Linked DNA regions of Solanum lycopersicum. The protein of the gene in region 1 interacts with the protein of each later gene in a pairwise test. Links are inferred from orthologs where the notes say so. Each region holds a gene or a part of one and is shown in the gene's direction. Other genes may lie near its edges.

Region 1 (4,212 bases):
ATTGAAACTGCTTCATCTTCATAAATTTATAAATGAGTACTATTACTTTCTCTCTTTTGATTTGATTCAAGGGTCAAAATGTCTTTTTCACTCTTATATATTATCGTGTGCTAAAATTTTGGGACACCACGACTTACTCTCATTTAATGTCTGCCTATAGATCTGTAAAATTGATAGGCCATTTCTTCCTTTAATTTTGTTTTTTCTTTCCACAATTCTATCTTTTTGTCTTGGGTACTGTTTATTGGAAAAGTTTTCTTATATACGTTCCTTAATATTCACGCACTTTTTTTTTTGAATAAGATCAAGTTCAACATTTATTGGATTATTATACCTTTTTAAAAAAAAAATATAATAATAATTACATAGCCTATCTTATTAGGTTCAACCATGGTATATATAGTTGTTTAGAAGCCACAAATAATACCTCAATTCCATTTACTAAAGATTTTGTTGGTGTCATTTATATAACAAATATTGTTTCTAGTCTCTCTCTTCAAATTTGTAATTATTTTATTTAATTTTTTCGTACTAGATAATATAAAAAAAATTTATGCACTAAGAATTAAGAAAATCAATCATTGAAAATTAATTCAATTAGCCAGAGCTAAGAATAGAAGTCTCGTAATTTTTAATTACTTGTTTAATTTTATTAATTATAAAATGATTTTTTCTTTTTGATTTGTGAAAAAGTTCGAAGAAAATATCAAAGAAAAAGAAGAGGTTATAATGAAATTTCGACAAAACTCCAAAAATAACCATTCAAATTGCTCTAGTACGCGGGGCCCACGCCGGCTCCATCTCCCGCAATTCCATAACCAATCCTTCACCACCATAACTCATCTCAAAACTCATTTTCCCTATAATATAATATAATATAATATAATATCATATCATATCATATCATATCATATCAAATACTTTTCCTTTACGTTATTTCACTACCACTTTCCACTCTCCAATCTAAGCTGAATTTGAGGTAAATTTCTACTCTACTTTGATCTGACAACTCCAACATTTTTTTTATCTGAAAATTTGTCTTTCGATCGAATTTGGTGTTGATTTTCATGGTTTAATGTATATAAACCCTAAGCTTAATTTTTCAAATTCAAGCTCGTCTAATTGCAGCATAGCATATTTCGTTTGGTCATTTTTCTATTCGACACAAAAAACTAAACAAAAGTGGGGAAAATGTGATTGATCACCGATATACATTTAATTAGTATATTTCTGTATTGCTTTGAAGGAATTCTGGATTTGGTTGATTCCTTTTTAAAACTCACAAAAAATTTTGTTGCACTTTACAACAAGAAAACTGAAAAAATACTCATTTGATTATTCATGAACGGTCCATTGCTTTTGTATTGATTGATTTTGTATTTTATTAGCAGTGTGAGAAGATGAGTAATTCCTTAGGGAATAACTTGCTGTACCAGGGATTCCTAACCTCAACTGTATTGGAACATAAAAGTAGAATCACTCCTCCTTGTGTTGGAGGCAATTCTTTATTTCAACAGCAAGTGATCTCGAAATCACCTTTATCAACTGAGTTTCGAGGTAACAGGTTAAGAGTGCAGAAAAACAAAAAAATACCAATGGGAAAGAAGCGTGCTTTTTCTACTTATCCTCATGCTCTACTTACCACTGATACCTCTTCTGAGGTAAATGCCCAACCTACCTATATGACAAGATGTGATTTTTATCTAGTTACAATTCAATCAGCTCCTCAACTGGATAATGTTTTCTCATTTATTAGTACATAGTTATCCCGTTTCTTGAATGTTTTGGTCATCATTTACTGCATATAGGCAGTTCTCTTCCTCTTTCCGATTTCGTCTGCTTGATTGCTTAGAAACCGGCTACTTAGCTTGGTTACACTCTGCATAAATGCGGATGATTCCTATAAGATAACTTGAACTTATCTTGTCCCTTTTTCGTTTCTCTTAATATTTCATTCTTGCATTATATTTGTTGCTGGAGTGGGACTCTCCTTGAAGATCTGTTGCTATGACAGATCCTTGTAAGTTCTAATATGAAATCATAATTGAGAATAGATGTCTAATTTTTCCTTTCAGTACTATCATATCCAATAAAAATAAAACTAGAGTTCGACATAGGAAACAAATACTGAATAGTTTATGTACTATGGGAATGTATAATGAGGTGAAAACAAAAGACAGATGTCATTTATTGGTAAATATGGAGCACAAGACTTGTAACTCAGAATCTTTCTCAAAAGGAAAAAAAAGACTCATAACTCAGCATCCATGACGCCGTGCAAATATCTTTCTAATATTACCTATTTTAAATGTTTTAACAGCTAGCAGAAAAGTTCAGTTTAGAAGGGAATATTGAGCTACAGGTACATATGTGGGACACTACCTTTGCAAAACTAATTTTTTATTAATGACTTTCTTGTAAAAGAGTCAGCCTATATGTCTTATGCTGGCCATACAAATTTTCTTCTGCACTATAACAGGTTGATGTTAGGCCTCCCACTTCAGATGATGCGTCCTTCGTGGATTTTCAAGTTACAAATGGTAGTGATAAACTGTTTTTGCACTGGGGGGCAGTAAAGTTCGGGAAAGAGTAAGTTTAATTACAAATTGAACTGTCATCATTTTGAGAGACTTAAGCTTGTGATGACTAATCATCCTTATATTATTCTCTATATGATTATCTTAGAACATGGTCTCTTCCTAATGATTGTCCGGATGGAACCAAAGTGTACAAGAACAAAGCACTTAGGACTCCATTTGTTAAAGTAAGTTGGAATTGGTTTTGCTGCTCTCATACATGAATGGATTAAGTTATGATGCAAAATTGATGATTTTTGGTTGTTGAAATTTTACTCTTAGTCCGGCTCTAACTCCATCCTGAGACTGGAGATACTGGACACTGCTATCGAAGCTATTGAGTTTCTCATATATGATGAAGCCCGAGATAAATGGTAAATGAGTATCTTTGTGAAGGAACAGCATAGCATTATGGTTAAAGAGCTGCATGGATTTCACCTCTGTTTCTTCTTCAGGATAAAGAATAATGGTGGTAATTTTCGTGTCAAATTATCAAGAAAAGAGATACGAGGTCCAGATGTTTCAGTTCCTGAGGAGCTTGTACAGATCCAATCATATTTGAGGTGGGAAAGGAAGGGAAAACAGAATTACACTCCTGAGAAAGAGAAGGCAAGTAACTTATTCCTTTAGTCCCACACCTTTCTGGGGAAGTCATACTGCAAGTTGTTGGTAGCTAACATCACTGAGTTGATCATTTCAAATTCTCAAGCCTTTATTTTCTATTGACCGAGCATTTTGACATTGGCATATGTTGTAATTCTCAACCCTAGTTCAGGATTTCTATGGAACTTAGCTTGTCAACTATATTTCTGTGCATTCCTATCCATGAACACAAACAACCATTTAATCTTTGTTGATGTTATTTGCATGCTTTCTCAGAATATATCAACTGGTTGTTTGGTTCATGGATAGGAAGCCATAGGTGATAGGACTATTATTGCTCCCTGTTGCAGATACTGTTACTAAGGAGTCAAGGCATTGCTTTCTGATTTGCATTTTGCCCATGCTAAATACGGTGGGGTTGGTTTTAGGGAAAATTTTGTACAAGACTAGTGGTGGCTCAAGTTTACCATAAAATTGTTGTTTTAATTTTAAAAATTCTAGTCTTAGAGTCAACAATTAGGCTTTAAATTTTAATCAAGTACAATCAGTAAGCCAACTTTGACATGAAATCAAGTCTAAAGTCTATGAATGAGTATGACCAGTTCTTTTTTTTTTGTTTTCTTTTTTTAAGGTAAGAAAGGCTAGATTATTATCCAGTGTGGATGCATATAATTACAGAATGTGTAGTTAGTCTGTTAATAGCCAGGAAGTAGGAACCAGTAAAATAAAACAAAAAGTCTGTATCATCTATATAAGTAAACTACACCATAAAGCAGCAAGTTGTAAAGTAGATTATCTCAAATTGTTTGATGAATTTCTCCCAACATAAAGATATCCAATGTTTCTCTTCGTCCAGGTGACCAAAAAATATGAAGAGGTCTCATATTCCATATACTGATGTTGCTTCTTTTTCTTCCCTCCATTTCCAATTGAACAAGAATAGTTTCAGAGATTTTGCCATCACCCAAGACCCAAAATAGGGTCAATGACATGTATTGAGTTGCTAGAGCACAAAGCTAATGCAACAATAAAA
Region 2 (3,988 bases), on another chromosome or scaffold:
ACCTTTGAACTTTGATATTATAAACTACCCCCTTCACGCCAAATATGATATCGGGAGTTCTACGTACTCGAATTCACTATCGAAAAGCCCTACGAACTCCTTAACATCTTAGATAATGAAAAAACTAATCCACACTTAAAAAATTTACTCAATCCTTTCTTGGATTGTCCTAGACTTTACCCCACTCATATTCCATCTGAGATAGCCTAACCTGGAATATTCAAGTCACTACTCCAAAAGTTTTCTTACCCAAATTCTTCACTATTGGTTTACCCATAATGATATGAGAGGTCGTTACAATTTATAAAGCATAATTAATAATGTTTATTTCGTAAGTAGGCGTTTGATCGTGTAACTTCATCTTGTTATTTGAAATCATGAGATGAAATTTCAAATTCTCCAAAAAGATTGATTTGAAAATTTCATATCATTATTTGACATTTTCAAGTTTATATTTTGTAAGAAAAAAACTCAGAGTTTTTAATCAAAACATCCTTAAACTATATTCCCAACTTCACAAAGAACATCCCTCAATTTACACTACTCTCAACAAAAATCCTTAAATCATCCTCAACAAACCAATTTTGTTCATTCTACATGCATCTATAATAAAATATTGTGAATTTTTTTAGCAGCAACGTTTTGCATTATCTTCGTTTTGATTAACAATTTTTTTTTTACTTTTCATTTGTTTTAATATCAAAACACTATTCGTTGAAATGTTTTCTTCTCATTGAATCTGCAAAAATTGATGTCGATTGGAGACTTTTACCTCTAATAATGAAAAACAAAACTCGAGTACTAGAGATCAAAATTAGCTGAATCTTGATTATCTCAACTATGAGTTTGCCACCAAAAAATTATTGATCTAATGTCCATTTGACTTTGTAAGGTGAAGATGGTGTGAAATTATAATTTGAGGATATAGTTAAGTTGATGGTATAGTTTAAGAATGTTTTTAGCTAAAAACTAAAAAAAATCAGAATTTTATATCAACATAATCTTTTGCAAGAGTAACAAAAGAGTGATGAAACATTCCCAAAATATGAACATGATAACATAGTTACTAATGATATTGAACAGCAAAACTGCTCAACAAATTAGATATTCAAACATAACTCCAATTTTATCTCATATAATTTCATATCAATATATAATTACGTACCTGCCAAGTGTACCCTAAATAATGCTCTTATATCTCAATTTATATGTTAATTTTTATATTTCAAAATTCAAATAAAATATTATTACTAGCAAGTAGTAATTTATGGTTGGAGCGCCAAGTAAAATGAACCAAATAAATTGAATTGAGAGCACATAGTAGAAATTTTGTCCGAGGAAGAAGAAATAAGCAGCAATTTGAACTTTGAAGGCCTCTCTCCCTCCTTACTGCGACGATGTTGAAAGTCAGTCGGCTTCTGCACCCCAGGTTCTCTGCTTAAACCCCATCTCTTCCCTTTTGTCACGAAAATAGTAAAAGTTTTTCTCTAAACCCCTGCTTAAACCCTAGCTTTTCTTTACATATGTATAACAGTGTAAGTTACCAAGCTCAAACTTGAATCTCTCTCTCTACTGTTGGATCTGTATAGATGCGAAATGAATACTGATTAATGAAACGAATAGATGCTAAATATAACTTAAAAGCCGATGACTCTAAAAATAGGATATATCGAATGTTTTACATGGAAAATTTGTGGCTTTTCTTATTTATCTTCAAAAAATAGTATCTTGATAAATACTATCGGAGGTGAATGTTGGGTGGGTATGGGGGTTTATGGTGACTTGCACAAGTGGTTTTTTCTATTTTTACTGGTGAAGTTGTTTTCATTATTTTTAAGGTACTTGTATTCATAGAAAAATATTTTTTTCCGAAAATTTTGAACAACCGAACACACCCCATATAAATTGAAGGAAGTTGATCATGCTTAAATTACTATTGAATCTATTAAGACCTCATTCATATGTTATGTTATATGGAGACACAGAGAAAAATAGGTCCATATTTGTAGCAATGCTCACTGTGTAAAATGCATGGTGAGGACATTACACACACCTTTTCATCTGTTGCTCATTCACCAAGAAAATCCGGGATGTCATTTTCAACTATTACTTCTTGATGCTGGATACTCCATAATACTGTTTACAATGTAGGGAAAAAAGAATTACTGCTTGTCATGCAGAGTGTGAATAGAATTTTTTTAAAGTGAAGTTGATAATTTTTGAAAAAGAACCTTCTTAATATGATGTTTTTCTCTAGACACATTAGGAATCAGTTGTTGCATAAAAAATTGTCTGGAGAGGATGTCAAAGGTTCTATCTGGCAGAATGCCATCAACACTTTTGCAGCCTTTTCTACTGTTCGACAGGATGTTGTGGCTGATGGTATGCATTTTATTTTCAGATGTTCGTGAAGTCTCAGTTGTAATCTTGATGCTATAATAATCTTTTTGTCATATTTCTTGATAGCAGGAAAACGGGAAGGTCGAGTGTTTGCTCCCTACTCAGTATTTAAAGGCAAAGCAGCACTTTCTGCTGAACCTAGGCTGCCCACATTTAATAGACTGGATGTACGGTCTTTATTATCTTTTTAAATAGAATTAGAAACTGGAGTTGCCTCTCTTTATGATGTTGAAATGATGCTTCCACTCATCCATTCTTCTTATTACAGTCTGGAGGTGTTAAACTCAATCGTCGAGGTGTCATTATGTTGACATTCTGGCCATCCGTTGGTGAGCGCAAATATGACTGGGAAAAGAGGCAGGTAATGTGCTTATAGCCTTATATGGTTCTCTCTTATTATTGAGTTCCACCAGCATAGTAGGAAACGAGTTTTAGATCTTTATTTGTCCCAGAAAAGCTCTTCGCATCACTATTTTGAGGGATTCTCGCAAGTGTTACAGCTAAATTTTTCTACATTTATGAGATAAAAGAAGAGGGAAACTGTGGCAAGTAACATCCACTGGTGCCTAGCTTGCAAAGACTGGAGATGAGCAGCTATTCCTTTTCATCCTCAATAGTTCCTCCCAATCAACAGACTTCCATTCTTTATAATGAGTGCTGAACAAAATCAATCCGAACTTGCACACATAGACAGATATTAAGATCAGCAGGATATTATTTTCTTGTTTAAGAAGTTCATGCCAGCTTTTATTTCTCTTCAAGGCTTTTAAGTTTTTGTTCTTCTTTGATGGTAAATGAGCAGATTCCCAAGTTTTGACAGAGGATTGATTGTTCATGTTTGGATGCTTAGTACTTGGTCATAGCATGAGCCACCAACTTATAGGTTTATAATATGCTTAAGAGGTGGTCTTTCATAACTAGGTGAAGAAATTGCTTGTATATTTCTTGTTTATGTTATTTTGCTGCTTGGTTTTTCTTTAGAGTTATTAGTATTTTTCTCTTTTAAGTGTCCATTTGGATGTTAAATAAATATCCATCTCTATGTTAGTTTCACCACTCTCTCTTGCTCTTTCTTTTCTTGCACATGTTCACATATCTGATGTACGATTTGACTGACAGATGACTCAACATATTGCAGTTGTTTGCTTTATCAGCAACAGAGGTTGGATCATTGATAAGTATGGGGACCAGAGATTCTTCTGAATTCTTTCATGATCCTTCAATGCTGTCTAGGTTGATTTCTGATGCAGTTGTTGGCTAAGGGCTATCTTTTAGTGTACATGTTTACAGGCACTCATACACACACGCGCGCGTGCACACACACACACACACGTTTTTTTAGTACATGATCCTTGCATCCTACTGATTATTAGTTTCTCTTTATTCTCATCACTGTATAACTAAGCAGAGGTTATATGTTACAGTAATGCTGGTCAAGTTAGAAAGAGTTTGTCAATTAAGCCAAATGCTGATGGGAGTGGTTATTTCGTTTCATTGAGTAAGTATCAGTCTATATGTTCACCTTTTTTAAAATTTTGCTTCCAACCCACAAGATGCATCACAATTTGTTCTGTAATGGTAGCTGTCC

What was found. The genes of interacting proteins can lie anywhere in the genome.
Region 2: the proteins of GWD (region 1) and mtDNA-binding protein WHIRLY2-like interact in binary tests that used the Arabidopsis thaliana proteins (3 or more experiments, as listed by UniProt). The link is inferred for Solanum lycopersicum from reciprocal best matches to the Arabidopsis thaliana genes SEX1 and ATWHY2.

The regions. Positions count from the first base shown.
Region 1 is NC_090804.1:305,258-309,469, reverse strand, and holds the start of GWD (glucan water dikinase), read left to right. Parts: upstream 1-1,400; coding exon 1,401-1,661; intron 1,662-2,320; coding exon 2,321-2,362; intron 2,363-2,479; coding exon 2,480-2,589; intron 2,590-2,685; coding exon 2,686-2,764; intron 2,765-2,858; coding exon 2,859-2,950; intron 2,951-3,031; coding exon 3,032-3,185; intron 3,186-4,212. UniProt on the Arabidopsis thaliana protein: Mediates the incorporation of phosphate into starch-like alpha-glucan, mostly at the C-6 position of glucose units. Acts as an overall regulator of starch mobilization.
Region 2 is NC_090810.1:38,043,461-38,047,448, forward strand, and holds the start of mtDNA-binding protein WHIRLY2-like, read left to right. Parts: upstream 1-1,185; 5' UTR 1,186-1,397; coding exon 1,398-1,429; intron 1,430-2,257; coding exon 2,258-2,382; intron 2,383-2,466; coding exon of another isoform or gene 2,467-2,469; coding exon 2,470-2,567; intron 2,568-2,668; coding exon 2,669-2,761; intron 2,762-3,538; coding exon 3,539-3,633; intron 3,634-3,824; coding exon 3,825-3,898; intron 3,899-3,988. UniProt on the Arabidopsis thaliana protein: Single-stranded DNA-binding protein that associates with mitochondrial DNA and may play a role in the regulation of the gene expression machinery. Also seems to be required to prevent break-induced DNA rearrangements in the mitochondrial genome.